7 linked regions of the Macaca fascicularis genome follow. The protein of the gene in region 2 interacts with the protein of the main gene of each other region in a pairwise test. Links are inferred from orthologs where the notes say so. Each region holds a gene or a part of one and is shown on either strand. Other genes may lie near its edges. The genes, in order: PPP1R18, TRIM27, TRIM23, GNPDA2, SPATA2, TCHP and FBF1.

Evidence for each region.
Region 1: the proteins of TRIM27 (region 2) and PPP1R18 interact in binary tests that used the Homo sapiens proteins (3 or more experiments, as listed by UniProt). The two-hybrid records come from large-scale screens. The link is inferred for Macaca fascicularis from reciprocal best matches to the Homo sapiens genes TRIM27 and PPP1R18.
Region 3: the proteins of TRIM27 (region 2) and TRIM23 interact in a two-hybrid assay, tested with the Homo sapiens proteins (2 studies listed by BioGRID and IntAct). The link is inferred for Macaca fascicularis from reciprocal best matches to the Homo sapiens genes TRIM27 and TRIM23.
Region 4: the proteins of TRIM27 (region 2) and GNPDA2 interact in binary tests that used the Homo sapiens proteins (3 or more experiments, as listed by UniProt). The link is inferred for Macaca fascicularis from reciprocal best matches to the Homo sapiens genes TRIM27 and GNPDA2.
Region 5: the proteins of TRIM27 (region 2) and SPATA2 interact in binary tests that used the Homo sapiens proteins (3 or more experiments, as listed by UniProt). The two-hybrid records come from large-scale screens. The link is inferred for Macaca fascicularis from reciprocal best matches to the Homo sapiens genes TRIM27 and SPATA2.
Region 6: the proteins of TRIM27 (region 2) and TCHP interact in binary tests that used the Homo sapiens proteins (3 or more experiments, as listed by UniProt). The two-hybrid records come from large-scale screens. The link is inferred for Macaca fascicularis from reciprocal best matches to the Homo sapiens genes TRIM27 and TCHP.
Region 7: the proteins of TRIM27 (region 2) and FBF1 interact in binary tests that used the Homo sapiens proteins (3 or more experiments, as listed by UniProt). The two-hybrid records come from large-scale screens. The link is inferred for Macaca fascicularis from reciprocal best matches to the Homo sapiens genes TRIM27 and FBF1.

The regions. Positions count from the first base shown.
Region 1 is NC_088378.1:141,967,146-141,971,542, reverse strand, and holds the start of PPP1R18 (phostensin), read right to left. Parts: upstream 2,935-4,397; 5' UTR 2,710-2,934; coding exon 2,534-2,709; intron 2,315-2,533; exon of another isoform or gene 1,918-2,314; intron 1,112-1,917; coding exon 1-1,111. Other genes in the region: NRM (nurim), read right to left, coding at 3,735-4,016, 4,336-4,397.
Region 2 is NC_088378.1:144,252,442-144,256,958, reverse strand, and holds the start of TRIM27 (zinc finger protein RFP), read right to left. Parts: upstream 2,946-4,517; 5' UTR 2,595-2,945; coding exon 2,175-2,594; intron 942-2,174; coding exon 846-941; intron 1-845. UniProt on the Homo sapiens protein: E3 ubiquitin-protein ligase that mediates ubiquitination of various substrates and thereby plays a role in diffent processes including proliferation, innate immunity, apoptosis, immune response or autophagy.
Region 3 is NC_088380.1:71,290,878-71,294,644, forward strand, and holds part of TRIM23 (E3 ubiquitin-protein ligase TRIM23), read right to left. Parts: intron 3,705-3,767; coding exon 3,575-3,704; intron 3,052-3,574; coding exon 2,941-3,051; intron 1,477-2,940; coding exon 1,352-1,476; intron 1-1,351.
Region 4 is NC_088379.1:44,152,580-44,156,480, forward strand, and holds the end of GNPDA2 (glucosamine-6-phosphate deaminase 2), read right to left. Parts: intron 3,733-3,901; coding exon of another isoform or gene 3,613-3,732; intron 2,518-3,612; coding exon of another isoform or gene 2,416-2,517; intron 719-2,415; coding exon 609-718; 3' UTR 527-608; downstream 1-526. Other genes in the region: GUF1 (translation factor GUF1, mitochondrial), read left to right, coding at 2,416-2,517, 3,613-3,732. UniProt on the Homo sapiens protein: Catalyzes the reversible conversion of alpha-D-glucosamine 6-phosphate (GlcN-6P) into beta-D-fructose 6-phosphate (Fru-6P) and ammonium ion, a regulatory reaction step in de novo uridine diphosphate-N-acetyl-alpha-D-glucosamine (UDP-GlcNAc) biosynthesis via hexosamine pathway.
Region 5 is NC_088384.1:105,995,922-106,000,202, forward strand, and holds the start of SPATA2 (spermatogenesis-associated protein 2), read right to left. Parts: upstream 2,895-4,281; 5' UTR 2,246-2,894; intron 1-2,245.
Region 6 is NC_088385.1:116,771,814-116,776,346, forward strand, and holds the start of TCHP (trichoplein keratin filament-binding protein), read left to right. Parts: upstream 1-1,640; 5' UTR 1,641-1,793; intron 1,794-2,253; 5' UTR 2,254-2,425; intron 2,426-3,443; coding exon 3,444-3,631; intron 3,632-4,376; coding exon 4,377-4,533. UniProt on the Homo sapiens protein: Tumor suppressor which has the ability to inhibit cell growth and be pro-apoptotic during cell stress. Inhibits cell growth in bladder and prostate cancer cells by a down-regulation of HSPB1 by inhibiting its phosphorylation.
Region 7 is NC_088390.1:82,331,981-82,335,747, reverse strand, and holds part of FBF1 (fas-binding factor 1), read left to right. Parts: intron 1-710; coding exon 711-1,169; intron 1,170-2,302; coding exon 2,303-2,404; intron 2,405-2,783; coding exon 2,784-2,872; intron 2,873-3,041; coding exon 3,042-3,100; intron 3,101-3,767. UniProt on the Homo sapiens protein: Keratin-binding protein required for epithelial cell polarization. Involved in apical junction complex (AJC) assembly via its interaction with PARD3. Required for ciliogenesis.

The sequences.
Region 1 (4,397 bases), about 2.3 Mb from region 2:
TGACTCTGAAGGTTCTGGTTTCTGAGTTTGAGCCTCTATGTCCCTGGGTGTCCATTCTCGAGCCTTCCCGGAGTTCAGGGTCCATTTCCACCCTTCTGCTGGCTTCATGCCCCTCTCGCCATCTTCCACAGGCCTCTGCTCTGCTGCCTCCATTCCTGTGGAACTGCTGCCTTGGGCCTCCCTTGTCAGGGTCTCGGACAGCTCTGTAGTCTCTTCCGGAGCCACCCCTGGAACTGGCCACTCTTCTTTTCTGCCACATTTTTCCGAGTAGCCTTGTCTTTCTTCTCCTGACCTCAGCCTCCACTCTGTTGCCTCCAGTTGTACCAAACTCTGTTCCTGAGACTCTCTGGAGTCAGGTCTCCATTTATGGGCCTCTGTCAGGCCCAACTTCTGGTAGGCAGATTCCCCTGGGCTCAGTCTACTTTCCACCTCTTTTCTCCTGGGGCTTTGCTCTCGAGACTCTGCTAGTCTCAGACTCCGCTCTGGAGTTTCTCCAGGACTCAGCCTCCATTTCCATGGCTCTGACAGTCGGGAGCTCCTGTCTCCCACCTCTCCTGGGCTTTGCCTCCAGTCCCGAGCCTCCAGAGGCCTCAGGCTGGACTCTTGGGCTCCCCCTATCCCCAGTCTCCTCTCTCTGGTCTCCCTGGGACTTAGTCTCTCTTCTCTTGACTCTCTTCCCTTGGGGCTCTGATCCCGCATCTCCCCAGGGCTGGGTCTCCGCTCCCGGGCCTCCAGAGGCACAGGCTTTCTCTCTGCTAGCAGCTCTTCACTCCTTTGTTGCTGCTGCTGCTGCTGCTGCCGCTCCTGCCGGATGAATCGGTTCTGGTGCACTGGCCCAATAGCCTCCAGAAGGACCGAAGACTCATCTGGGTCTGGAGGGCCAGCCTCTGCAGTCCCCGGCACAGGGCTAGGCTCCCCAGGGGACAGCCCAAGCTTGGCCCGGCGGCGCTCCAGGAGCCCTCGCTTCCAGGCTGGCATCTGGGACAGGCGTTCCCGTTCTGCTTTCTCCCGGCCTCGAACGGACGCCTCCTCCTGCCGGCGCCTGGCTAGCAGCTGTAGCTTCCAGTCTGGGATGGTGGCCATGGTCGCCTTGAGGTGAGGGTAGGGAGCACTGGGGGCAGAGAACAGGAAGGAGAGGCTCCAGAGAGGCCCAGGGGGGAGACTGAGGGTGGGAGGAGAGGAAGTGGAGGGGGAGAGGTGGGACACAAAGCAGGGCAGGGGGGCTAAGGATGAGGACAGAGGGAAAGAGGGAAGGCAGAGAACTGGGGAAATGGAAAAAGTGAAGAGAAGTTGTGAGCCCAAGTTGGGGGTGGTGGGGGTGATGTGAGAGGAAGAGTCCAGATTGGAGGCAATGAGGGCAGGAGCCAGATGTGGCAGTCAGGGTTAATGCGTATTAAAGACAGTCTCTAGGATGTGAGACAGAGAGAGAAGGGCGAAAAGGAAAGTTGGTGTGAGGGAGAAGAGAGAAATGAGGCTGGGGTGAGGGGAATCTGGGTGCAGGCCAGACTGCCTCAGCGATACCCCAGGGAGACTAGTGTGGGAAGGAAGGACCAGGAATCCCTGGAAGGACCAGGAGGCAACGGGACCTGAGGGGGTGTTGGGGAGGCAAGGAGGAGCGGAAAGCGAAGAGGTCTAGGGGAGAAGGGAAACCAAGGAAGAGGGGAAAGGAGCGCGGCGGCAGCAACCCGGCGCGTCTCAGCGCGGGCCCCAAAGGTCCCGGCTCCCCTTCCAGCACCGCTCGGGCCACGCCTCTCCCCAGCCCCCACCCCTCTGCCCCGCACTCCGCCCCCGAGGCGGGTCGGGGGAAATACCCACCCCCGGGACTTTCGGAACCCGGGCGTCAGGGCTGCCAGCGCGTTCCCAGAACCCTGGCGTCCACCCCCACCCTGTCCCGTCACCACCGCCTGCCTCCCCCACCGGCTGCGCCACGCGACCCCAGAGTGCCGAGGGCCGGCTCCATGTCTCTTCTCCCCGGCGCCTGCAAGTCCTGTGCCCCGTCCCCGCTCTCATGGAGCCGTGACAGAGCCGGCAGTCTCCACCCCGCTCTGGACGCACAGACTGACAATCTCGGCACAAAGAGGAGACAGCCAAGATCCGGGCCAGGGATGGGAGCAAGGACCGGAGCGAGGAGACACCCACTCCCCAAGTCTGAGCCCCTCAGTCAACTCACACGCCGCAGGACCCCCGCGGGAGGGGGTGCCGAGGAGCCGGGCGTCCGGAGAGAGGAAGAGGAGGAGAGAGGGACCGAGGGAGATCCGGAGACTAGAGGGAGGGGAGGAGGGAAGGAGAGGAGGGAAGGAGAGGAGGAGGGAAAGAGGCAGCAAAGGAGGTGGGACGGAGACAGAGACCAGGGGGCCGGGCGGGGGCGGCGACCGCTTTGTCTAAGGACAATGAGGAGAGGGATGGGGGCGCAGGGCGGAGCCGAGGAGGGGGCGGGGCCTAGCTCCCTCCCACCCCGCGTGGGACTCGCTCCGGGACTACCCTGTTCTTGTCCCAACCCCTGGCCCTCCGCTGTGTCCCCAGGGGCCCTCACCAGCTTCCCGCCCGGACACCCCAGGTGTCCAGATCCCTTCCCCCAGCTCGCCGACCCAGGGCGGTGGCCCGTGACTCAGGCCCCTCGTGGGACTTTGGGAGGAAGCGGCAGCTGCTCGGGGCCGGGCCCGCCCTTCCCATCTCCTGCAGCTCCTCCCTATGCTTTTGCCTTCTCATCTGGGTCTGGAGGTCCAACCTCTGCAGGCCTTTGTTTTTGCGGGTCGAGGGCAACCGCCAGGCTGTGGGGGGCCTTGTGGAGTGGGCGGCAGGAGAGGCGCTCAGAAACCAGAGGTTTTGGAAGCTCGCCCCCCTACCAGAGCTGCTGCCGGACTCTTTCTAGCTTCAACCTGTCTCCCTTGGGTCTCCGGGTCGGCTGCCGGGAAAAAGGGAATTTGAAGGAATGGGAATGGGGACCCGGCCGCTCTGGCAAAGTGGGCCGGGTCGGCGGGGGGTGGCCGAAGCCCAGCGGTTGCCAGAGGGCGTGGTGGCTGCCCAGACTCCAGTTCGGCGCTCCCAGGCTCCCTCTGGCTTTCTTTTCCAAACTCAGCCCTGCAGCTTGGGAGACACTGACAGACTGCATGCCATATGTAGAAAAATCAGGCTGACTTTTATTTTCCTGCAGAGCATCTTCCTCAGGAGAGCAGGGAGCCCCAAGTCATCGAGTTAAGAGCAGGAGAATACCCTTGACTAGGTTGGGGTCTAAGCACAGAGGCAGGGCCTAAGGAGGTGCAGAGACTAGGACCAGGAGTGGTGAGGCAAGGTGTGGGGCCTAGAGGGACAGCTATGACCATTGAACTTGCAGACCCTGGTCCAGCTTCTTGGAGTGGAAGCCGGAGGTGGAGAAGGGGACGCCTGAGGCACAGAGGCAAGTAACAGTGCCAGGGGAATGGTCAGGGCAGATCCTTTCCTTCTCAGGAGGCTGTTGAGGGCGAAAGTGTCATGCCCTAAACAGTGAGGGGACAGATGAGTTCCATACCCCGCTCTTCCTTGCTAGTGAGAAGTGGACCTTGGAGTTCAGTGGCTGAAACTCAGAATTTAGGGTGTGGAGCTGGACCCAGAGAATAAACTCTCAAGTAGTGGAAGGGGTAGCTCCTTCAGTCCATGAATTTGGGCCTCTGGCGTGAAGCAGCCATGGCCTGGATGTTAAGGATTTAGAATTCAGGGGGAGAGGAAGAACAGCGCTTGTAACCAGAGTGAGCTCCTCACTCTGCCTCCCCATCCTGGGGCCGAGAGAGCAGGTGGAGTTTTCTTTGTAGTTGGGCCCGGAGGTAGCGGAGGTCTTGCTGATCAAGCCCATGAGCCAGGCCCAGGTAGAGGGTAAGGAGGAGAGCAAGGAGGAGACGGTCCATGCCCAGGGTAGGCACCACCCACAGCACTGTCAGCAGCTCCACACACACTGGGTGGCGCAGGTGAGAGAAAAGTCTGAGAGCCCGGGGAGACTTCAGGGCCAGAGGCTCGCCCAGCCCCAGCACATGGTAGTATACCTAAGAGGGAGAAGAGTTTAGAAATTGAGTCAAGCCCTTTTCTCAGCTTGGGCGCTTCTTTCCTCCTCTTCCAGGCACCAGCCTTCTAGAGCTCAGGCCCAGGAACCCCTCTTCTGAGACTTGGATCCCTGATCCTGACTTATGATCCATGTACCTTCCCCAGGCCCAGGAGGCCCATGGTTGCTGTCCTTCTGAGGGAAGGGTCATGAGGGAGAATCAAGGAGACAGTAGAAGAGCATGGGAGGAGGGAAACCCTTGAAAGGGAAAGAGTAGTTCTAAAACGGGTCAGAGGTCGTAGGTAGGGATCTCAGAGCCTCACCTGTTTGAGGCCCATGAGCTCAGCATAGTCAAAGACGAGAAGGATGCTGAAGATGAGAAGCC
Region 2 (4,517 bases):
CCCATGCCCTGCCTTGTTTTTTTTTTTCTTTTCAAAACAAAATTCCCAGTTAGGTGCAGTGGCTCACACCTGTAATCCCAGCACTTTGGAAGGCCAAGGCAGGTGGATCACTTGAGGTCAGGAATTCGAGACCTGCCTGGTCAATATGGTGAAACCCCATCTCTACTAAAAATACAAAAATCAGCTGGGTGTGTTGGTACATGCCTGTAGCCTCAGCTACCTGGGAGGCTGAGGTGGGAGAATCACTTGAAATGTGAGGCAGAGGTTGCAGTGAGTCGAAACCTTGCCATTGCACTCCAGCCTGGGTGACAGAGTGAGACCCTGTCGGAAATAAAAAGAAAAAATTCCCATATACCCCTATCATAAATTAATACATCAGCCACTTGTCGAGGCCTTGAGAGATTGGAGGAAGAGAGCAGAGCAAAAAATTCAGAATTAAGGCATTGTCAAGAAAGGAGAATAACACAAAGAGAAGCAACAGTGGGACTTACACAAATCCACTATTAGCACTTGTCTGAAGAATGGTAACAACGCAAGCTAACTGTATCCAATAATTTTACCCATCTCAGCTTTGCCAAGGATCAACCTTGGTCTACGCAGTTAGCAGGTTAAACTATACTGACAGGTCTGATTTCCAAGGGTTCCAAACTTGGCTCCTCCACGCTTTCCCCAAAAGAAAGGGAATCTCTTAGTTCTCTGGGTGAGTTCCCACTGCCATGTGCAGTTGATCCCCCTCTACCTACAGGTTCTGGGTGACATGCTGGACAAGTCTAAGGGAAGTAACATCAGCTCTACAGAAGAGGGGAGCACCAGCAGAAGCGACTGTGAATTCCAACAACCCTTACCAAGAGTTCAGCTCGTGCCTGTTCCCCTTGGGCCCGACGTCTCTTCTTTAAATCTTTCACTCTTTTTAAATGGTCAAGCTGGTTCTGGATTTGCTCCTGAGAAAAGCAAAACAGATGGGCAGTTCAAAACTAGGTAGACCTTAGCATCAGCATGGTACTTCTAATCACACATGGAGTCCACACACCTGATGCCAAGTATCCAGTTGGCACTTGTTCTCAGGCCACACTGCCACCCACAAGAGAAAGACTCAGGGCGCAGGGGCCAACAAGCCACTCATTTGGCAATTTGTGTCTATCTTAGCAGCCTGTCGCTTCAACCACTCAGCTACCTCGTCAGGATTATTTGTGTCTATCTTAAACAATGAATCATCTACCTGTCCCTGGTAGGATATCGCATGACTTAGCGGAACTGTGACTGGAGTAGGAGGCTTAGAGTTATGTTGTATTGTAGCTCTTCCACACAAGCATACTGTGAAAGTGACTTCTTATTTCCCTCATGTGTGAAATGGGCAAACACCATCTTCCCAACCTACTCAAGAGTTCTCACCAGAGTAAGTGAAAGAATATAGCTGAAAGGTCCATAAATGTTAAGTGATTAATTACACATGAATGTATTCATATTTAAACACGGACATAATTGTGTATGAATTCCTGAAGCCCTCAACATACAGAAAATACACAGTATCATGGACTCCTTGAAGGTCACCTTACAACTGTTTTATATGTAATATTTTGTTTCCACGTTTCTGTTTAGCTGTGCCAGTTCACAGAGGGCTCTGTGCATCACATGATTCCATAATCTTCCTCATAACTGTTATCTCCTGAGTCTCAGAGTGGTTAAATGACTTAAGCAGTGAAGAGCCTGTTCTTTTCTGTGAGTTTCTAGACCAGGACGTATTGCAGGAAAGTGCTGGGGAAATGCTTATAGACCAAGGAATGGGCATCGGTCAGTTAATGTCCGACTGCGTTTTGTCTGACAGCCGACGAGAGTACATGTGTCTCTACAGCTCGTCGATGTGCAAGCGATTTTATGCACTTCTTTTATACTGTCAAAAGCATGTCTCCGTGTACAATGTGTCCGTGAGACAGGAAACATGGGGGCACACAGAGAAAGGAGAGTGGGGGTGGGGAGACTTCTGGCTCCCTCGCCAGCTACAGGTTTTCCTCCAAATCTGAGTGCTGAGGCTCTGGAGCGGACAGAGAGGAAATGACGGCTGTGAACCACACGTCCGGCTCAGCCATTTTCTAGGCGGAAAAAGGGAAGCCCCTTTGGCTCTCTCCTCCCTTTGTCCGACTCGCGTTCCCGCCCTCCCGGATCCGCGCCCTCACCTTGAAGCCCTCCACTGCCTCCTCGAGCGGCAGCACGCTGTGGCCGCGGTGCTCGCGGGAGCGGTCGCACACCACGCAGATGGGCATCTGGTCCTCCTCGCAGTAGAGCTTCAGGGGCTCGCGGTGTTTCTCGCACACGCCCATCTCGCCGCCGGGCCCCGACGGCCGCTCGGTGCGCAGCTGCTTCACCAGCTGGGTCACGTTGGCCAGGTGCCGGTTGGGCCGCATGTGCCTCTGCGGGAAGGTCTCCCGGCACTGCGGGCACGACACGTTAGTCTCTGCCGTGCCCCAGCAGCGGGCGAGGCACGCGCAACAGATGTTATGGCCGCAGTCGAGCATCATGGGCTCTGCGAAGTACTGCAGGCACACGGGGCAGGTGGTCTCCTGCTGCAGGCACTCGGCCACGCTCCCGGAGGCCATGGCGCGGGCCTGCGGGGGCTCACGGGCATGGGCCCCGGCGCCGAGCTCTGCACGGAGCCCAACTCTCCGGCGCTCTCTCCCGTTCGCTGTTCCTGGGAGGCACCGGGCGGACGGAGGGCGGTGCCTCCCGGGCCCGTATCCCAGACGCGCCCGCGCACCGAAGGCTCAGAGTGGCCGGGCCGATCCCTGCGCCTGTGCCCCCTGAGCGAGTGCGGGAATACAGCCGGCTCACAGAGACTCGCGGCCACGTTACTGGGGCAGGAACGGGTAGCCAAGGGTCAGGATCCCAGGGCCAGGCGCGCAAAGCGCGCAAGACAACGTGGCCGCGTCCGAGCGGATCCCGGCGGCCGCGTAGACCCCACCCCGGCGCGAGCGGAAGAGGCGGCTCGGGGGGCGGGGCTTGGCCCGCGCTTATAGTGTGTGACAAGATTTCGTGGCCTCGGGGCCCGGGCTGCTTTCTCTAGAAAGGCCTGGGAGGCTCCGCCACTCTCCCTTGGGCGGGTCGCGCCGAAGCTCTAGCCTAGGGGACTGGTCACAAAAGCAGATGGTGCCACACGCTCCGGGCCTACAATCTTCCGCGACTGCCGGGCCCAGGCCCCTAGTGTTTAGTTGGGTTTCTTCTTGGTGCCCAGGTCTCAGCCCCTGCTAAAGATGGCTTTGGCCGCGCGCAGTGGCTCACGCCTGTAATCCCAGCATTTGGGAGGCCGAGGCGGGTGGATCACGAGGTCAGGAGATCGAGACTATCCTGGCCAACATGGTAAAACCGCATCTCTACTAAAAATAGAAAAATTAGCCGGGCGTGGTGGCAGGCGCCTGTAGTCCCAGCTACTTAGGAGGCTGAGGCAGCAGAATCGCTTGAACCCTGGAGGCGGAGGTTGCAGTGACCCGAGATCGCCACTGCACTCCAGCCTGGGCGACAGAGCGAGACTCCGTCTTGAAAAAAAAAGAAAAGAAGAAAGAAAGCTGGCTTTATATAGGTGCTGGGGAGCGCAGACATCTGGCTTCCCCAAGAGGCTGGAGGATGAGGAGGGTCACCGTCTGAGCCCACCTGATAGGTGAGGCCTTTTATTAAACAGACCCATTTGTAGGCACTTGCAGTTTTGTTTAGAAAAAGAAAGGTTTAATTATCAGATGGTAACATTTCTGTGTGGCAATAACAAGCCCAGCTCTGCTACCTCTCACTTGTGCCCAAGCAAGTTGGTTTACCATTCATTTACCTCAGTTTCTCCTCGTGTGAAATGGGGATGATAACTGTACCGCCGTAAAGAAGTAGATTTCGTTACATCTTTTACTTTTTGAACCATAAGGTTGTTTATCCATTAAAATAGTAACAAAATGCCCATTACATAGGGTTGTTGTATTGAGGAGCAACTAAAAATTGCTTGCTCCTTTCTGAAGTATAGAGAGACTAAGAATCCTACAGTGACCCAGGGTCTTGGAGTCCCACAATACTCGTTGTCTTATCATGCAGTAGACCTCCAGCATTTTTAAGTTGCTTTCTTATCCCTTGCTTGATGTCTCCTGCTTTTCTTTGAGATTTTCTCAATATTGTCCTGCTATCTGAGCAATACGGGCTTCTGCTTCCAGACCTTACTTGATTTTTATTTTATTTTTTCAAAGTGAAAGTACGTTTATTAAGAAAGTAAAGGAATAAAGAATGGCTACTCCATAGGCAAAGCAGCCCACATCATCACTTTAGAGTTCCCCTCTGGTCCTCTTCCCCATGGGACAAGAAGTCTGAGGGACTAAGTGCACTTGCCAACCCCAAACCCACATCCACCTTGCAACCATACTCTGAGTACCCAGTCGTTCAAATTCCAGTACCAAATAGCCCTAGCCCATTTCCAGAAAAACATAGCGTACTTGGGCCAGGTCACACAACAGTCCGGTCTTGGATTGAGATTGGGTCAACAATGCAATTTG
Region 3 (3,767 bases), on a different chromosome or scaffold from region 2:
AATGTCTCAGTTTAATAACCTACCAACAGTGGGAGGATGAGGCGGGCAGATCACTTGAGGTCAGGAGTTTGAGACCAGCCTGACCACCACGATGAAACCCCGAATCTACTAAAAATACAAAAAGTAGCCGGGCGTGGTAGCAAGCACCTGTAATCCCAACTACTTGGGAGGCTGAGGCAGGAGAATCGCTTGAACCAAGGAAGGGGAGGCTGCAGTGAGCAGAGGTTGTGCCACCGCACTCCAGCCTGGTGACAGAGCAAGACTCAGTCTCAATAATAATAATAATAGTAATAGTGTATATAAGCCTGAGAATTACAAAACACTTTCATCTTTATCTGATGAGCACAAAATGGTATTTCACTCACTTATTTGCATGTCTTAAATATACCAGTTCTTAATAGTTTGCTTTTTTTTATTAAGGGGAAAATTCTTTATTCTTCATCCTACTCTTCCCCTCCCATGACATCTCCTCTGCTCCACTTCTACTCTCCTACCTCTACTTAAAAGCATCTCATCCTCCTAGAAAGGCTCAAGGCCTAGGAATCTTCAGCTACTCCCAGTCCTTCATCCTCCCCATTCGGTCACCAGTTCTACCTCAAAGTCTTTTCCATCTGCCTCCGCCTTTCTATTCATCAAATTCAGACTCTTGTTAATGCTCACTTGAATTATTTAAGCAACTTACTGCATCTCCCTGTCTCCAGTCCTTTGCCCTGATTCATTCTACCCCCAGAATTACAGTATTAAAACACTGATATGATCTTATTACCCACTAATCCAACATTTTGATGACTCCTCTTTGCTCACAGAATAAAACCTAAATTTCTCAGTCTAGCCCTGTCAGACCTTTACAGCATGGCCTTGTCTGTTATTCTAAATTCTCTTCATCCTCTACCTGGACCTGACATGATGATCTGCTTGATGTTCCCTAAACTAAAAACATTCATGCTATTATCTTCTCTATGATGTTCTTCCTTTCACATACTGACTCAGCCTCATCCATAATTTCAACTCAAATCCTACATTTTACAATCTTACAACATGCCACATTTAGAACTACTCTCCTAATTCCCATAACACTGTGTTACTGAAGTTACTTATCAGTTTTCTTTGTATTCGTATCTCATTTATGGGTTCATATGCATACACAAGAGTTTCTGGTGAGCATTAACTACCTTATTTCTATTTTGTATACTCCCAGGTACCCAGCACAGCATTTTCACATAGATTGTACTCAAAATACACAGAAGAAACTTTATAAATATCTATGGAACTGTCTTCTGAAATATTTCCAGTTACTTTATGACATGCACAAAACTACTAAAATAAATATTCCAATATAAAAATGCATTACCTGTTTGTTAGCAAAAATCAGGAGCAGAGCATCTCGGAGTTCTTTTTCTGTTAACAACTTTGCAAGTTCACTGTGTGCTTCACTAATTCTGTCTCTATGACTGCTATCTACAACAAACACAACAGCTACCCAAAAAACAAACAAATAAAAAACCCAAAATACTAATTAGTCACTTGCTAAAGTTCAGTAAATGAACCAAATATTTAATGACATCATTATTATGGTTAGAGTTTGTCTACCATCATTATTTTCACACAGTCTGCCTAGTATGGCAGGGGCACCTACAAAAAATTAACGATATGATTTCAAGTAGTTTACATAACTTCTCAGGTTTAGTTTCCCCATCTATGAAAGGATTTACAACACTTGCTCTATCAAATGCAAATTGGTCTGTATATCAAATAACATTTTTTACATAACAAATTGCAAAATAGGCCTCATGATCCTCTACCTACTGATGCTACTTGTTCTTCGAATACTACTTTTGTAACATTTAGTCTTTGAATAAAAGACTAAAAGACAAAAACCATCACCATTTTTATCTCTCTAAAGTATTATGTCTAAGTTAACTATCCCCAGACTTTCAACCATTCCTCATATTCAAAATTTCATTTTTGTAGGGCACAATGGCTCACAACTATAATCCCAGCACTTTGGGAGGCTGAGGTGAGAGGATCACTTGAGCCCAGGAGTTTGAGACCCCTGGGCAATATAGTGAGACCTTGTCTCTACAAAAAAAAACAATTTACAAATTAGCTGAATGTGGTGGCATACCCCTGTAGTCCTAGCTACTTGGGAGGCTAAGGTGGGAAGACTGCTTGAGCCCAGGAGACAGAGGTGGCAGTGAACTGCAGTCATGCCACTGTACTCCTGCCTGGGCAACAAAGCAAGATTCTGTCTCAAAAACAAAATACATGTTTTCTATTAATTATGGGTCATACTAAATACCAAAAATCCCAAAGTAAAAATAATTGTTCAGTCTCTCATCTTAGTGGAAAGCAGGATAACATACAGAATAAGTGGCATGAGCGTAAGCTCTATGTTGTGGTCTATGAGGCAAAAGTGTAGAATAAGACCCAAATGTGACTAAAACCTATGTAGAGTATACATATGATATAATACAGTTTGGTCAAAAGCAAGCCACTGTAAATTCTTCTGCAGGTAACAACTATTTGTGAAAGAAATGTGGGAGTGGGGCTATAGTGAGATTATAATGGGATAAATGTTGAGTTTAACTGAATTCAGCAGAATCATACAATATAAATTCAACTCTATACCACGACACTACCAGCAATCACACCCATATAATACTGATAATATACATTCTCTGTTAAGAGAAGCAAGAGTACTCTTAACTGACTATCTAAGGTACGTATGGCTTTTATTCTGTAATAATGGTTTATCAGGAATAAACTAAAAGTACATATCGTAATCTTTCTATTTTCATTTTTTACAAGATAAGAAACTGGCCACCGGTACTTAAGTATACAGTCAAGGACTTATACGTATCAGCTTTGCTAGTTAAATCAGTACACTGAAAACTGTCATCCTAAAAATGTGAAAAATTAAATGTCATTTTTAACTCTCACCTTGAGTATTGAGGTAATAATGTTTCCACAATGGTCTTAATTTGTGTTTTCCACCTACATCCCAAATAGTGAATTTCAGATTTTTATATTCTACAGTTTCCACATTAAAACCTGTTTTTAAAAAAAGTTACTTTTATATTTATATTTACAATGAATGACACATCAAACACAGACAACCCCCCAGTTTATAACTGTGACTTATCAATTATCTATATGCAGCAATATCTACTGAAGCCTAATCAACCCCATTCCTACTCCTACATGGAGAATGTATACCTGTAACAGCTCCTAGCCCTCTAAACCTCCACCAAGGTCCTTAGGACCTTGGGATCCATGTACCTTCAAGCTCTGTTCCACTACCACCCCCCACCCCACACCCTCAGCCAGGATCACCAATCCTCTATTCCTTCCAACTGTCCCACCAATACTCTGATTCTTTTTATCCCCATCCACATTTCAATCCCATAGCCATACAATCTTACATTTTTTTTCTCTGAGATGCTGATATCTTAAAGCCAGAAAAGAGCCCACCACCATGACAGATCAGTATCAAATAAGACCCCAAGAACTCGGCTGTAAGCTAGGGTTTGTCTATTAACTGTTCTTTAAGGTAAAAACCAATATTCATACTTACCAATTGTTGGAATGGGCTGCATGAATTCATCCTGTTTTAACTTAAACAAGATAGTAGTTTTTCCAGCACCATCCAATCCTAATGTAACGACCCGAATTTCCATTTTTGGCCCAATGTGAACTCGATTATCCTATGATTTAAATATTTTTAAATATGTTTGACATGCAGTTAGGAAGTAATAGCATTTAGCACC
Region 4 (3,901 bases), on a different chromosome or scaffold from region 2:
AATTTCAAAAATTTACTGTAACCTCAGTGGCACTTTTAAAATGTATTTGTATGTTACGCAATCTCAAGAGCATCTGTTTACATTTGAAAAATAAAAGTGCATATTCAGTCCGTAAAAAATGTTAAGTGTGCCCCTCCATTAGTGAACACTTTAATAACTTAGTCTTTCCAGGAACAGGTTGTCCACATCATGAAAACCATTGTGTATCTCATAGGAGTACATGGAGAAAAGCCAGACAAAAATGAAAGAAGAGTTACTATTAAATAACAAATAAGGAACTCAGGGCATGGCATTCTGAGAGGCTGTTTTTTTTTTGTTGTTGTTGTTGTTGGGGCATCTCACTCTAGGTACCCTCACTATGCCCTAAAATCTTATGTTACGGGATAGTATATAGTAGAAAATAGATATGAAACATGGGGAAGCAAAAGGGGAAAAATGAACATTGACATCTATAGAACTCCCACACAGTGCATGAATATTAATGTTAATGTGCAGAGACAAATTTCATGTTTAACGAACATGCTACAGTGACTTGGAATTTTAACTTTATTTAATCATCTTGTCAGTGAAGAGAGTTAGCATATATAATTCTTCTTACCAAGGAATCTTCATGTTCCTTTGTATTGAGAATTTTTTTCTACTTTGTCACCCAGTTTTTTTTTTTTTTTTTTTTTTCTTTTATGTCTTCTTTCAGACAAGACCTTGAGCAAGTAAGTGGCTGTGGAATTTAAAGTAAAATGAATTGGGGGCATATTAAAATTACTAGAGTTGAAAGGAAGATTACTAGGTTTAATGTTTATAAATATTTTTCACAGAAGTCTGTCAATTTTAGTTTGCATTTGGGTACTACTTTCTGAATTATAAGTGGTCTTAAAAACCCTTTTCATTTGGAAACTTAAATACATTTTGAATTTAATGAGAGAACGTGATTTTTGAACTACATAAAAATAAAATATTCCCGCTTCCAGCATTAAGGTAATTGTTATGTTCAAGATGGATGTTTTACATATGCAGTCAATTCCACACTTAACAGAAAGTCATCATAGGCTATGAATTAAGATCAGGGAAAAATTTATTTCATACCAGGAGGCAAGAATCAACTGCAACTAGGTCAGAGCAGGGAGTCCTGTGTTATACTAGAACTGTAGTGGTGTCTAATCAAACAGGCATTTGCCCTCAACCCATAACCCCAGTAGCTTTTTGGAATTGCAGATGTGTTTCCTGCATTCTAAGGGAACACTAGAATGCCTGTGTTTTCAGTAGAGGTTAGGAATTGATTGGGCTCCTTGGAAAAAGAAAGCACAATTTTTATAATGATTTCTTTTGAAAAAATGAGTTAAGAAATTTTTAAGATTTTTAATATTTTGGACCACAACATAGCTGGAGCTGTAACAACTTCAAAGTTAAGGACCACGTCTGTTTTTTCCTCTTCCTATTTGCTTTGTATTCTATAGGATACTTAACATGGTATCTTTCATACAGTAAATGTTTAATAAGTGATGCTTTCTGAAGAAAGGATTTTAACAGTACTTCTGAAAAGAATCTGTTAATAGAGTGTATTATTGTCATTTTATGACCTTTCTGCTGAAAATCTTTAGAAACCAAACATAATTTTGCAAGTCCAGGCACCAATTGTTTTAAAATTAAGACAGTAGGAGTATACATGTTCTTGTCTGTGATTGGGACAACTTGTAAGCCTATAATTGAAATTTTCTTGTTAGACTTCAGTTTTATAAGTTAAACATTTAAATACCTGTTTTGACTAACATTGCAAGCTTTGACCACATTGTTAAAAGTAACAGCTGAAACTAAGTGCTTGTTTGCATGCTAAACTAGGCTCTGTTTGGCTCTGTTTAAACATGTATTATGTACTAGGCATTGCTCTAAGTGGTTTACATGTATTAACTCATTTAATCCTCACAAAAGCCCTCTGAAGGGAGGTGCAAACTGAAGAGCCAAATAGGAAATTCAAAGGTCTCATTTATTAATGGCATTTTATGAGTGTCATAGCATTTATTTAAACATAGAGTTGTCATTGGTAATAGAAAGTTAAACAGAAACCCAACTCATAAATCTGAAAATGATCCATTAATATATAGTATTGTCTGAAGCTTGCCAGCTGCTGGGAACATGGGAAGGCATGGTATTTGTTTTCAATAAACCCTTTTCTTTGTCAGGTTCACCAATTTATTTCCCTTTCCCCTATAAACATATTCCCTTTGTTTTTGCCCTTGATTTAATAAACATAAAAAGATAACATTTAGATCCATTCACAAGAAATTGTATGTGTAATATTTTGATGGAAAGATCTCTTTGGGGAGTGTAATGTGGCAGAAAGTAGCCATTTTGTAAAGAGTAAAAAAGGTAATCTCTTGGGAAGTGTAATATTTATCACTTGGACTTTTTTCCTTTTAGTTTTGATTATGAAGATGCAGGCTACCAGACTGCAGAACTTGTGAAAATGGATATTCTACTGAATGGAAATACTGTAGAGGAGCTAGTAACTGTTGTACACAAGTAAGTTGAATAGAAACTAATCGTGGAATGTGAAAATACTCACTTTTGATATGTTTTTCACTTATTTTTGAGCAGCTGCATTTAAAAAACTTTTAAAGGTAATTAAAATAGAGTTCACCCTACGTACTTTGCTTTCTCTTCTTTTTCCACACTTCTCTCTGGACTGCTAAAAATAGAACAGAGCTATAATAGTCAAAAAGAATAGTGTAATAGAAATGTTTCCCCTTACCACACACACACACACAAAAGTTTAAAAAATTTTATGATGATGGATTTAGAATTGGGAACAAGTTGTTTTGTTTTGTTTTGTTTTTTTAGATGGGAGTCTCATTCTGTCACCAGGCTGGAGTGCAGTGGCGCAATTTCTGTTCACTGCAATCTCTGCCTCCCGGGTTCAAACGATTCTCCTGTCTCAGCCTCCTGAGTAGCTGAAACTACAAGCGCTTGCCACCATGCCCAGCTAATTTTTGTATTTTTAGTAGAGACGAGGTTTCACCATATTGGCCAGGATGGCCTTGATCTCTTGACCTCTGATCTGCCTGCCTCAGCCTCCCAAAGTGCTGGAATTACAGGCGTAAGCCACCGCACCCTTTTATATTTGTAAAAAAATTATAAAAAGGAAAAAACCCACGTGTTCAAGAAACAGCAGATTGGTTAAAATGAATTACAAAGCACCCATATTGTTATTTTCAGCCATTAAAACTTGTGGAGTAGTATTTAGTGACAAAAATGTCTATTAAATAAGAGGGTAGAATATATCATAAACACTGATCATAACAAAAATATGCAAAAAAATGACTAGAAAGATATATGTTTAAAATAAACATTCCAAAATGTTTACCGTTTTCAGTGGCTAAGGAAAGAGAATCAAGAACGGTTTCTATTCTCTAATGTATTTCTAAATTTCCTGTAATCATACATTGCTTTCTTAGAGAAGTTGTTCATGATTCAGAGAGTAAGAGATATTTATGATAAGTAAGTTCCATTTGAACCTCCTTTAGAGATCACCTTTACACTGATTATGCAACTGGCCTAGAAAAATACTTGAAATATTCTTATTTAGGATATATAAACAGTTGTATTTTTCTGTCTCAGAGACAAAGCACACTCAATTGGCAAAGCCATATGTGAACGGCTGAAGGATTCTCTTCCTAGGCAACTGTTTGAGATAGCAATTCAAGCTGCTATTGGAAGTAAAATCATTGCAAGAGAAACGTGAGTTGAAATTGATTTTTGTTCTTGAGCCAGTTTCAGAAATGATATACCTAAAAAGTGAAAGAATATTGAACATTTTAACATTGGCCTAAGCTTTATTCTTACTTGTAGAAACAGTATGATCGTGCTCTCCATTTTTCTGATTTAAGTAATGACTGTTAGTTTGAAT
Region 5 (4,281 bases), on a different chromosome or scaffold from region 2:
CTGAATACTGCTGTAATTTTTTTCCAAGGAAGTCAGCCTTGAACTCAAAGAGACTGATTTTTTACAAAGTCAGCCAGTCGCAAGCTCGGCTCAGCGTATGCTGCTCTATAATCGCACCACAGTCCACACCCTTGTTTGTTGCTGAAAAACAATAAATAAAGCAAAGGGATCCAAACAGCCCAGCTGATGTTCAAAATCTGAACAACAAGGACAGGAAGTCCAATATATCTAAAACAAATCTCCAAACAACCTGGGTAGGTGAGGGAAAAGGCGGAAGAAAGTAAAAGCTAAAAGATAATTAAGGGCAAGACATGCCTGGATTATTATTATTATTATTAGGTGGGTGTGGTGACATGCACCTATAGTCTTAGCTACTTGGGAGTCTGAGGTGGGGGGATCCACTGAGCCCAGGAGTTTGAGGCTGCAGTGAGCTATGATGGCACCACTGCACTCCAGCCTGGGTGACAGAGCAAGATTCTGTCTCAATCAGTCAGTAAGGAAAGGAAAGAAAGAGACTAACAATTACTGAGGTCCTACTATGTGCTAAGTATTGGGCTTCCCACTTTACCTACATCATCCCATTTAATCCTCACAACTCTATAAGGAAAACAGGCTCTCCCATTAAAACAACCTGTCCAACAGAGTTTGAAAGGATCAGAGCTGGAATCTGAACTCTTGTTGGCAGGCCCTGATGCCTGGTGCTTTCTCCAATTTATCTCACTCATTTATTGTTACATCAGTACCATTTACCAAGGGATTACTGTGTGGCAGCTCTCTGCTAACTGCTCTATGAAAAACAATGAAATCCATAGGATAGATCCAAGGTTAAAGAGGAAACTGAGGCTCGGAGAGGCCAACTCACTTACCCTAAGTCATAAGGCTAGGAAGAAGTGGCTCTGAGCTCTGAACCTAGGTCTAATGCCAAAACTCTGACTCTTGCAAAGCCATCCTGCTGCATCTGCTGGACAGCTCTACTCGAAAGTGTCTGGCTAAGTTAGAATGCCTTATGGCGGCGCGAGCAGAGTTGAGTTACAAAAATTCCTGTAGTAGCAAAATTCCCATCTTCCCACACCGAATGGGGCTAGGAGAGCTAATCTCTATATGATGTAAGCTCAAGGGCCGAGGAAAGAGGCTGGCCTGAGACATCGGCCAGTGATGAAGCAGCTGACATCATCCCTGCTGAAAACATTTTCTGAGAATACAAGATGCCTTGTAGCTGGTCATAGCTGGTGTTTTTTCTGAGCACAGAGCCAGCAATTCATTCCCAGCACTCTGCAAGAACAACAAAATACGCTCTCTGCAAAAACATCGTGGTTACAGGAGACCGAGACAGCCCAACGACAGAAGCTGTTAATTTCTCCAAGCAACCCAAGGATTGGAACGCCAAGCCGTGCCAGTCTGGTGGGAGAAAAAAAAAAAAAAAAACCCAAAAGACAAAAAAACAGCACTGTGAATATCCTGAACATAGAGGCAGGCAGGTGCCCAGAGTCAACAGCTCCAGTCAGCACCTCCTGAACCCACAATCTAGGCACCCTCTTGAAAAGCAAGTCAATGGAAAGAGAGATATTGCAGTCAGGGAGGCAGTGGCTTATTTAGTTATTTTCTAAACATCTAAGAGGAAAGCTGTATCTGTTTAGACTCCCACTGCATGGAAGTGAAGTGATTCCGAGTAACAAAGCATTCGCTTGGCTTTACCTCAGCTGGCCCATTCAAGCAGAAATGTTCCCCAAGCAGTATTTGAAGGCGCCCCCTCTCTGCACAGGCAGAGCTATTTTGGTCTGTGCACTGCCCCTGTCCACAGGTTTACACATCCCTGGTCTAGCTCCATCAGCCTCCAAACAGCAGACGAGGAAGTCAGTTCAACCCCCTCCACCTCCCCACCCACACCAATGCACTCGTTCCAAGCAAGAGGCTCCGAGACACATCCAAGGCACCTTCCACGGGCTGTGAAACACCAGAAGGTCCCCACACTCCTACTAGATTCCAAAGAAATTCACACAGAGTCCTTCCAAACCTCTGAAAATAACCTCAGCGGTGCCGAAAGAAGCTTCCCTAGTGGCAGCTGCCTCTGAAGGAAGCTGTTTCCCTCCCTGCAAGGGACAGAAGCTGGCGGCTGCTAAGTCCCAGCTCGGTCATTCCTACAGCCTCGGGGGGCCACGTCAGTTGTGAAAAACAGCCCAGTCTCAAATTCTGACCCTCCCCACGGGTTCGTGAATTGAATGAAGTAACAGGAACTATCACTTACTGGACGCCTGCTGTATGCCAGGGGCCCTGCATGATCTCATTCCATCTCTACTCCAGCCCTAGCAACCAGGTTCAATCACACTTAAACAGGCAACTGAGGCTCTTAAGATGAAGTGACTTATCCAAGGTCACACAGTGAGTACAAACCCAGGTGTGCCGCCAGAGTCTGAACTGGGAACCCCTGCGCAGTAACCGCCTCGTGGCGAAATCGGGGTGTCCTTCTGTTTGGCCAGTCGCCGAAGAGAGGGTGCTCCTCTTGAGCGGCCCTGAGCCACCCTCGGTGGGTTCCAGGAGCTTACAAGGCAGCTCCCAGGAGAATGGGGATCCTGAGGATAGGCTGGGGGTCCCGGGAGCGCCGAAACAACGGGCCCACCTGTAGTCCTGCCTGACGTGAGGGGACCCCGCTCACGGGCCAGCCGAGCCCTGCCGCTGTCTGGCGCCCCCTCCACCTGGGGAAGCCCCGGAGACAGTTTCCGCTCGCGGCCGCCCGTCACTCACCCTGACACTGCCGCCGAGGGCTGCCCGGCCGAGGGAAGCAAGCGGGAGGCGCGGCTGCCGCCGGAGCCGGGCCCCACTGGGCTCTAGCCGCTCCGGCCGGCTGCAGGGGTACTGAGACCAGTACCCGCGGGCCAGCAGCGACCCGGAAACACTCGGCCCGGAAGTGAAGTCGCCAGGAGGCGGGTCCGAAGAGAGGGTGGACCACGGCTGCGCGCTGGCTCCGGGAAGCGGTCGATGCCCGCGGCCGACGGAGACTACAAGCCAGAGGCCGAGAACAAAGCGGAAGGCCGAAGAACGAGGACGAAAGCGGCGGAACGGCAGTTTGGAGCCTAACGAGCCATCGTCGCGTCTGGAGCTAGGACCCGGAAGTAAACAGGCCGGACGTGACGGAAGCCACTCGGTTTAGGGATGGTGGCTGGCCGGGTTGTCATGGAAACCGCTACGGAGCCTGGAGCTGCATTCATGACTCCGCACAAGCAAGCAGGGGCTAACGGTCGGATCCCTCGCCCCCATTGTACGAACAGAAATACTGAGGCTCAAAGAGAGCCAGTGAGACGCTGAAATCACGCGTGATTGGAATCCAGCCTTGCTAGGGCTGTCGGTGTTACGGGCTGTGGGCGACGGTTAAGAGCGTGGGTCCCATTTTTAGCTTTGCCACTTACTAGCTGTGTGACCTTGGACAAGTTACCTAACCTCTCTGAGTCTCAGCTTTATAACCTGTAAAATTAATAAAGCCAGGCGTGGTGGCACGCGACTGTAGTCCCAGCTACTCGTGAGGCTGAGGCGGGAGGATCGCTTGATCCAAGGTGTTCGAGACCAACCTGGGCAACATAGCAAGGCCATGTCTCTTAAAAAAAAAAAAAAAAAAAAAAAAAAAAAAAAAAAAGCCGGGCACGGCGGCTCACGCCTATAATCCCAACACTTTCAGATAAATTATATATATAAAATATATATAAATATAAAATATATATATAAAATCTGACATCCCCACCAGACCCTGAGCTTCTTATTCATCTGTTTCCCCCCAAGCTCCGCACATGTCTGATGAGGAGGCACACAATAGATGTTCATTGATTGTAGGATTCTCACTCTGAGTCTCGGTGACCCCAGCTAAAACCGGTGGGCCTTGTGTGATGAATCAGTGACTTTAATACTGGGAAACGTTTGGAGAACCAGCAATCTGCTGTCCAAACAGTAGCATTACTGTGTTTACCTGTAATTGCCTGAGCACCGCTCAAGGTCCCTGTGTTCTTTATCAGCTCATGTTTAAGCTCCTCTCTTCATTATCTGCAACGTGATAATGTTCACAGGAATTTCATCTGAGACAAACTGTCCCACCTTAAGTCTGCCTTTACAACAACTCAACACTCTGGTTTGGTAGCTCTTACAATATTGCATTTTCACGTGGGACTGCTAAAAAAAAAAAAAGTCCCCTCCAGCTCTGTGGGTCTGTGGGTCTGTGACAGCCAAAAGAGAAACAAAGATTTTGAAGAAGGGCTTTACCAGTAGGAAACCCTGGTCATCGAAACTTGGTGACAT
Region 6 (4,533 bases), on a different chromosome or scaffold from region 2:
TTTTTATATTTTTAGTAGAGACAGGGTTTCATCATGTTGGCCAGGATGGTCTTCAACTCCTGACCTCAGGTAATCCACCCTCCTTGGCCTCTCAAAGTGTTGGGATTACAGGCGTGAGCCACTGAACCCAGCTGAGGCCATGATGCTGCATCCAGGAAAACCAGAGATGAATACAGAATGGAGAAATGAAGAAGAAACGAAAGAATAGGAAAATGAAAGAAAAGAGAACAAACAAGTAAGTATTTTTCTTCATTTTCTTTTTAATGGAATAGTTGGTATGTAATGCTTGTAGCACACATGAGTTATAAAACATACTAATAGAATGAACACTCTTGAACTCATCACCAATATAATACTATAATATAAAGTTATTGACTGGGTGCGGTGGCTTACTCCTGTAATCTTAGCACTTTGGGAGCCTGAGGCAGGTGGATCATGAGGTCAGGAGATCAAGACCAGCCTGGCCAATATGGTGAAACCCCGTCTCTACTAAAATACAAAAAATTAGCCGGGTGTGGTGGCGGGCGCCTGTAGTCCCAGCTACTCGAGAGGCTGAGGCAGGGTAATCGCTTGAACCCGTGAGGCAGAGGTTGCAGTGAGCCGAGATTGTGCCACTGCATTCCAACCTGGCGACAGAGCGAGACTCCGTCTCAAAAAAAAAAAAAAAAAAAAAAAAAAAAAAATGACCAATAACTTCCATCTACTTATGCCAGCAGGTCTCTGCCCAAGTTGTACATTGAACACACCTGGGGAATTTTGGAAAACACTGGTACTCTCAGATGGGATTTGGGGTTTCGTTTGGGCATCTGGATTTTTTTAAGGTATCTGGATTTCTTTTCTTTTTTTTTTTTGAGACAGTGTCTGGCTCTGTCACCGAGGCTGGAGTGCAGTGGCACAGTCATGGCTCACAGCAGCCTTGATCTCCTGGGCTTAAATGATCCTTCCACCTCAGTCTCCCGAGTAGCTGGCACCACAAGTCCCACCATGCCGGATTAAGTTTAAAAATTTTTAGGCCGGGCGCGGTGGCTCAAGCCTGTAATCCCAGCACTTTGGGAGGCCGAGACGGGCGGATCACAAGGTCAGGAGATCGAGACCATCCTGGCGAACACGGTGAAACCCCGTCTCTACTAAAAAAATACAAAAAACTAGCCGGGCAGGGTGGCAGGCGCCTGTAGTCCCAGCTACTCGGGAGGCTGAGGCAGGAGAATGGCGTAAACCCGGGAGGCGGAGCTTGCAGTGAGCTGAGATCCGGCCACTGCACTCCAGCCTGGGTGATAGAGCGAGACTCCGTCTCAAAAAAAAATAAATAAATAAATAAAAAATAAATAAAAATTTTTTTAGAGACAGGGGTCCCTCTATGTTGCCCAGGCTGGTATCTGGTGATTCCCATGCGCAGCCAGGTTTGAGGATCACTGGCTTATATTCTCCTCCCCCTGGTTTCCGCCTTCACCTTCAGGTGATGGTAACCACTATCCTCAAATACGCGCAGTGCACGGACAGATGCTTTGCCTCCGTCCTTCCCTAGTTCAAGGAGTAGCGACGTTTGCTGTTTATCTCCCGCCGGCCACGAGGGGGCACCAGAGAAAAAAAAAACACAGTCTCCCTTCGCGCTGAAGGAGGCTTGGCCCTTGCGACGCTCCGTCGTCGGGCTCGTTGCTGGCGCAACCAGGGCGGAAACTGCCGGCGTTGCTGTAGCTCGTCTGGGAATTACACCGGGGGACTGGCCCGCCCACTTTGTGCCTGCGGGAACTCGGGCCGGGGGACTCTTCGGAAACTCCAAGACTCAGAGAAATGTGAGTCGAGGGGTTGGACTCGGCCGGATCCGGCGTTAGGGCAGGCCCCGCAGGCGGCCCGCGCGGGCGGGAACCGGGGCGTCAGTCCACGGACGCGAGCTCAGGGCGCCTCCTGGGTCCTCACTCTGCTCCCGACGCGCCGTGACCCCCTTTGTTGCACGTGCATGTTCAGGTCGAGAGAGGGATGCGAAGCGTTCGGGGAGTAGACCAGCTTGTGGGTGGCCAATCTGGGACCGGAATCTTAAACTTTTGACTCTTGATGCAAAAGTTGATCCACTGGCGGTTTTACGGGGCGGGGAAAAAAGTATGTGAAGCTTGCCACGGTCTCGAGACCGAGGTCACACGTTAGCAGCCCGCCGGCTACATTTGGACCATAGATGCAGAGTGTTTGCCCCCAAACTTGGAGGACCTCGAGTATGAGATTCTTGGCGTGGACCAGGCTTTTTCGCTTATTCGACAGGCGTTCCTACCCAGGCACTGCATCGACCCTGCACTCGAGGACAGCTTTTGGGACAGGGGAATTGGTCCCTGGAGTGAGACTGCTCTCTGCTTTCAGGGCTCCAGCTGTATCCCTACATTGCTCAGGCAATTCCTCTCTCTAGCTCTCAGCTTCTTCATCTGCAGGGTGAAAGGTCTGTCCTCCATGGTAGCCCAAAATACTTCCGAGTGTTATATCAGGCGAGGTCCCTCCCAAGGGGCTGCCAGAGCCAGGGCAGGTTGGTCCCAACAGGCAGCCCCTCGCAGTGTAGAGAACCGTGGGCTTTGGTCTCAGACGGACATGAATTAGGAACCCAGCTTGTTTATTTCCTTTGCTTCCTGGCTCCGTGGTCCTGAGCAAATCACTTCACCTCTTCGAACTTAAGGTTCCTCACCTGCCAAATAGCGAGGTGATTGTAAGAATGAAAAAAAGTCGTATGTATTGAGTGCTTGGCACGTACATGTGTTCGTTACATTATTGTCTCTGTTTAAGTAGAGCGTGAATGCCCCCGATGTGCCTACTCTAGCAATCTTAGGACAATCCCTGTGTCTGTCTGTTGTGTCCCTGGTGGTGGCTGGCCCACAGCTGGGTGCATGCAGTCCAGAATTTTTGATGTTTTAGGATTTTTTTGAGACAGAGTCTCACTGTCGCCCAGGCTAAGTGCAGTGGTGCTATCGTGGCTCGCTGCAGCCTTGACATCCTGGGCTCAAGCAGTCCTCTTGTCTCAGCCTCCTGAGTAGCTGGGATTACAGGCGTGCCACCACTCCTGGCTAATTTTTGATTTTTGTTGAGATGAGGTCTCATGATGTGGCTGGTCTCCAACTCCTGGCCTCAAGTGATCCTCCTGCCTCAGCCACCCAAACTGTTGGGATTACATGCGTGAGCCACCGCATCTGGCTAAGGTTTATTGTTTTGTTTTGTTTTGAGACGAAGTCTTGCACTGTCGCCTAGGCTGGAGTGCAGTGGCACGATCTTGGCTCACTGCAACTTCCACCTCCTGGGTTCAAGCGATTCTCCTGCCTCAGCCTCCCAAGGAGCTGGGATTTAAGTTCCACCCGGTAATTTCACTGTGCAGCCAAGGGGTGGTGACCACTTGTTAAAGGGATGAGGCCAAGCTGGTGAGGGTTCCCGGGGTTTACAGTGGCTCACTTTCCTCCCATTCCTGTTCTCAGATGGCGCTCCCCACGCTGCCGTCCTACTGGTACAGCCAGCAGCACCTGAATCAGCAGTTAGCACGACAGCGAGAGCAGGAGGCCCGGCTTCGGCAGCAATGGGAGCAGAACAGCCGTTACTTCAGGATGTCTGACATCTGTAGCTCCAAACAGGCAGAATGGAGCTCTAAAACCTCCTACCAGCGGAGGTAATTTTGCGGTAACTGCCGATTGGATGGAGGTGGGGGCTACTTGCCAGTCAGGGGATGAGGCCTTAAGGATTTAGGGAGAGTAGGATTTGCCAGGCAGCATGAATTCCCTGCGTGGTGATGTTTTTCCAGCTGGAAGTGGAAAAAAAGATCATCTATGCAGCCATACATTGGCATTGAAAAAGATAAAATGATGCAGAAGAATATGATAGAATTTGGAAGCCTGCTTGTAACCCCATATCCCCATAGAGAGCCACAGTTAACAGTCTCGCAGGTATCCTTCCATGCTTTTACTCATTGGTATTTGTGCTTAAATAAACACACACACACACACACACAGACACAAACTGCTTTTATAGAAATACATGTAAACACATGGAGGCTGAAAGCATAGGCTTTGAAGTCAGATAGACCTAGATGGAAATCCTGACCGTGTCTCTTGCTGAATGTATGAGCTTTGGTTTCCTCATCAGTCAAGTAGGGCTACAGCAGACCTATACTGTAGGATTTATGTGATGGATAACATATACATTATTTATACAGTTATACATTTTCTTTTTGCAAAAACAAGATTTTCTTTTAGGCATACTATTCTGTGACCTGCTATCTTCACTTTAGCTGGGGACACATTCCTGTGTCATCATGACACATCTACTGCGTCAGCCTCTTTTACCCACACAGCAGAGCAGAGCACGCTCCCTGTGGCTGTAGCATGATTGATTCAGGCAGGCCCCCTTTCACCCAGCATGCACGCCTATCAGCGTGAGAAGATGAAGGAAGAGAAGAGGAAGAGTCTGGAGGCCCGACGGGAGAAGCTCAGGCAGCTCATGCGGGAGGAGCAGGACCTCCTGGCCAGAGAACTGGAGGAGCTGAGGTTGAGCATGAACTTGCACGAAAGAAGA
Region 7 (3,767 bases), on a different chromosome or scaffold from region 2:
TTCACTATGTTGGCCACGCTAGTCTCAAACTCCTGGCCTTAAGCGATCTGCCCACCTTGGCCTCCCAAAGCTCTGGGATTACAGGCATGAGCCACCATGCTCGGCCTGATTTTTTTTTTTTTTTTTTTTTTTTTTGAGACGGAGTCTGGCTCTGTCGCCCAGGCTGGAGTGCAGTGGCCGGATCTCAGCTCACTGCAAGCTCCGCCCCCCGGGTTTATGCCATTCTCCTGCCTCAGCCTCCCGAGTAGCTGGGACTACAGGCGCCCGCTGCCTCGCCCGGCTAGTTTTTTTTTTTTGTATTTTTTTAGTAGAGACAGGGTTTCACCGTGTTCGCCAGGATGGTCTCGATCTCCTGACCTCGTGATCCGCCCGTCTCGGCCTCCCAAAGTGCTGGGATTACAGGCTTGAGCCACCGCGCCCGGCCCTGATTTTTCTTTAGACCTGTGTGCCCACGGCTGTCATTTCATTCTGTTCCTGCTCTGCGGGGAGAACTGTCCCTGGTTCAGGTGATGGAAGTCAAGATCTCTGTACTTCGTTGTTCTACAGATAGCACGCGGCCTGCCACATGAGCCAGTCCAGGAGCCACTGCTTACTGGGCCTCAGCTGAGCGTGCAGGGTCCCAGGGCATCGTGCTGCCCAGCCCCAGGCTGCTAGGGGGCCAATGGGACTGGCTGCTTCCCCTGCCTGACACCCTCCTTTCTGTCTTGAAGTAGGTTCTTAGCAGACAGTGGCCCAGACCCCAAGGGAGAACCAGGCTCCAAACAGAGCCCTCCAGCTGCTTCCAGCCCCATCCAGCCCAGGAAGGGAGGAGCTGACTGGCTGGGCCTCAAGGACGAGGACTTGGACCTGCTCCCTGCCTCACCCACCAGAGAGGCCCGTCGGGAAAGCTTGGTGCCTGCCACGCCCTCAGTGCCTCCTCCTGCAAGCCAGCACTCCACACCAGCTGGGCTGCCCCCCTCCAGGGCAAAGCCACCAACCGAAGGGGCAGGGTCCCCTGCCAAAGCCAGCCAGGCTTCCAAGCTGCGGGCCTCCAAGGAGGAGGAAGAGGAGGACTGGCTGAGCCATGCCCTGTCTCGGAAGAAGTCCCAAGGCCTGGCCAGAGAGCAGCGTGCTGGGGCCTCTGAGGGCCTGAGTTTGGCGGGGACAGCGGGCCATCCCCCTTCTGGCAGGTATGGGCTTGGGCTGCTGTGGCTAGTAGGGGGAGGACTGGCTGCAGACTTGAGGAGCCCCTTTGCCCCTCCACCTGTTGCAGCCTCAGTCGGGAGTTGGGGAACAAGGCAGGGCACTGTGGGCACAGAGGCCGTTTCTTGGCTTTGCTACTCTGCCTTTTGGGCACTGCAGAGAGAGCCTCTGGCTCCCGGGCTTGCCCCAGGGACACACCCAAGAAGGAGAGCTGTTGACATTCATGCCCTGACTGCCATGGGGACAGGTGCTAACTAGATCGGGCAGAAGACAGAGGGTACCTGAGGTGGCAGACACACCGCTGCCCTGTCACAGCGCCCTCAGGCTGGAAGCCCCAGCATCCAAACAACTGGTGCTTCTGCCGACTCCACTGAAGTGAATATGGCGTGTGTGAGACGAAATGTCCCTGTGCTCTTTGAGAGTGTTAGAAGAGACACAGTGGCCGAGAGGCACCTCCTGGCAAGCCCCTATCCGTGGGGCAGGATAGCAAGTGACCTCTGAGGGCAGGAAGGCACAAGGGGACGGCAGGCTGGGGGAGTCCAGAGGAAGTGGTGAGATGTGCTGTGGCCAGAGCCCAGGGTAGTGAACTGGGAAATTTGTGGCAGCCCAGGGACGTCACCCAGTCCTGGGGTTGATGAGGGCAGTTGTGACTTTGACCTGAGGCCTAGGGGAAAGCTCAGGCCAAAACAGATGAGAGCCTGTCTCTTCACTGACCTGTGAGCCGAGAAAGAGGTGGGAATAATGGGAAAGGGAGCCAGCCAGATTTGGGAGACTAAGCAGAACCTTAATCTAGAGCTGAGCCAAGTTAAGTGGGCTGGAACAGGGCTCTGAACTTGAACTTGACGCCAGTGTCTATAACATTTCCATTGTCACTGCTTGGACCGTGTCCATTCACTGCGCCACTGTGGACACTGCGGCAGGAAGGGGGTATTTGAAGGGAAGAGATGCCCAGAAATCCCAGGAGCTCAGATGTGGGAGGAGAATGCCCCAAGATGGGATGATGGGAGCAGGAGGAAGGGCGGCCACGAGCTTCACGTGTGAAGCCCGTCCTGGGACCCATCTTCATCCAGCCTGACCTGGGCCTTCTGTCACCTTCACCTTGAATGCTGCCTTTCCTCAGCCAACCTGTCACCAGCACACAAGGACTTGAGCAAGCAGCTACTGGAGAGAGCTCCGGAACCGCCGCACAAGAAAGACCGTGTGTCAGGCCTGGTGACTCAGGGTAGGCCTGGGCTGCGGGCTGAGTGGGAGTGAGATCGTGGTGGGCAGCACAGGCCTCTGTCCTTAGAGAGGGACACAGAGACTGCTCACGCTGCCCCATCCCCATGCCCCACACAGAGGTTGCCCACCCTGCCCTGTCCCCATGCCCCACACAGAGGCTGCCCACCCTGCCCCGTCCCCGTGTCCCACGCAGAGGCTGCCCACCCTGCCCCGTCCCCGTGTCCCACGCAGAGGCTGCCCACCCTGCCCCGTCCCCGTGTCCCACGCAGAGGCTGCTCACCCTGCCCCGTCCCCGTGTCCCACGCAGAGGCTGCTCACCCTGCCCCGTCCCCGTGTCCCACGCAGAGGCTGCTCACCCTGCCCCGTCCCTGTGTCCTCAGGTCCCCTGTGACTCGGAACCATGCCGCCTCAGCACTCCCTACAGGTTCCCCAAAGAGGCGACCAGCCCCTGGAGACCTCTCAGCCACTGGTTTGTTTTTTGTTTTCTGCTTCATTTGGGAGTTTAACCCTGGGTGAGGAAGAGGTGCTTTGAGCTTCCTTTGGGGTCCCTGGGACATGAGTGACACCAGTCCCTCCTGGACACTCACAGGCCCAGAGCCCTGGGCCTCCTGCTCATTTCTCTGCTATTGATGTTTCAGAGCCTGCCACCTGTTTCCCGAGCACCCAGGAACCCACAAAGCCTTCCATGCCCATCCAGGTAGGGGTGTGGGCAGACAGGTCTAGCTCAGGGCCTAGGGAGCAATTCTCCATGCCCAGAGGCAACACCAACAGTTTGACCTGATGACCTGCCAGGAAAGTATGTCAAACATACCAAATGTGACGTCAGCCAGCTCCCCCGGCAACCCCCACCAGAACTTGCCTGAATCTCTAGCCTCGCTGCTCCCAGGGTGTTAATTTGCCTACATCAGTGAGGAGTTTGAGGAGGTAGCCAGGCCGGGAAGCTGGGACACTGCAGTCAGAAAGCAGGGCCCAGGGTCCTGTTCTGTCAAGAAAGCCTCCTCCACCCCTGCCATCCTCGCACCACACCTCTGCCTCTGTTTCCCATGTGTGGCAGTCACCTGTGACATGTAGGCCTGGGAGATGTGGCCCCCAGGAGTGTGTCCCTGGGAGATGGTGGGTAGGGGACAGCTTGTGGGAACCAGATTAGTGTCAACATGTGGGCTTCAGGCCTGACAGGAAAAGCTAGCGTCAGCTTTTGTCATAGCAGAGACTCTGCTGGGGCTCAGCCATTTGTCTGGGAAGCCGGAGACCATGCAGGGGAGGAAGCTGTTCTGGGGTGGTGGAGGGAGACATGCTCCTGACCAGACCTGCAAGGGGAGGTACACTGGGGACTGCTCAGCCACAGTGACTGTGACTCTCCAAGG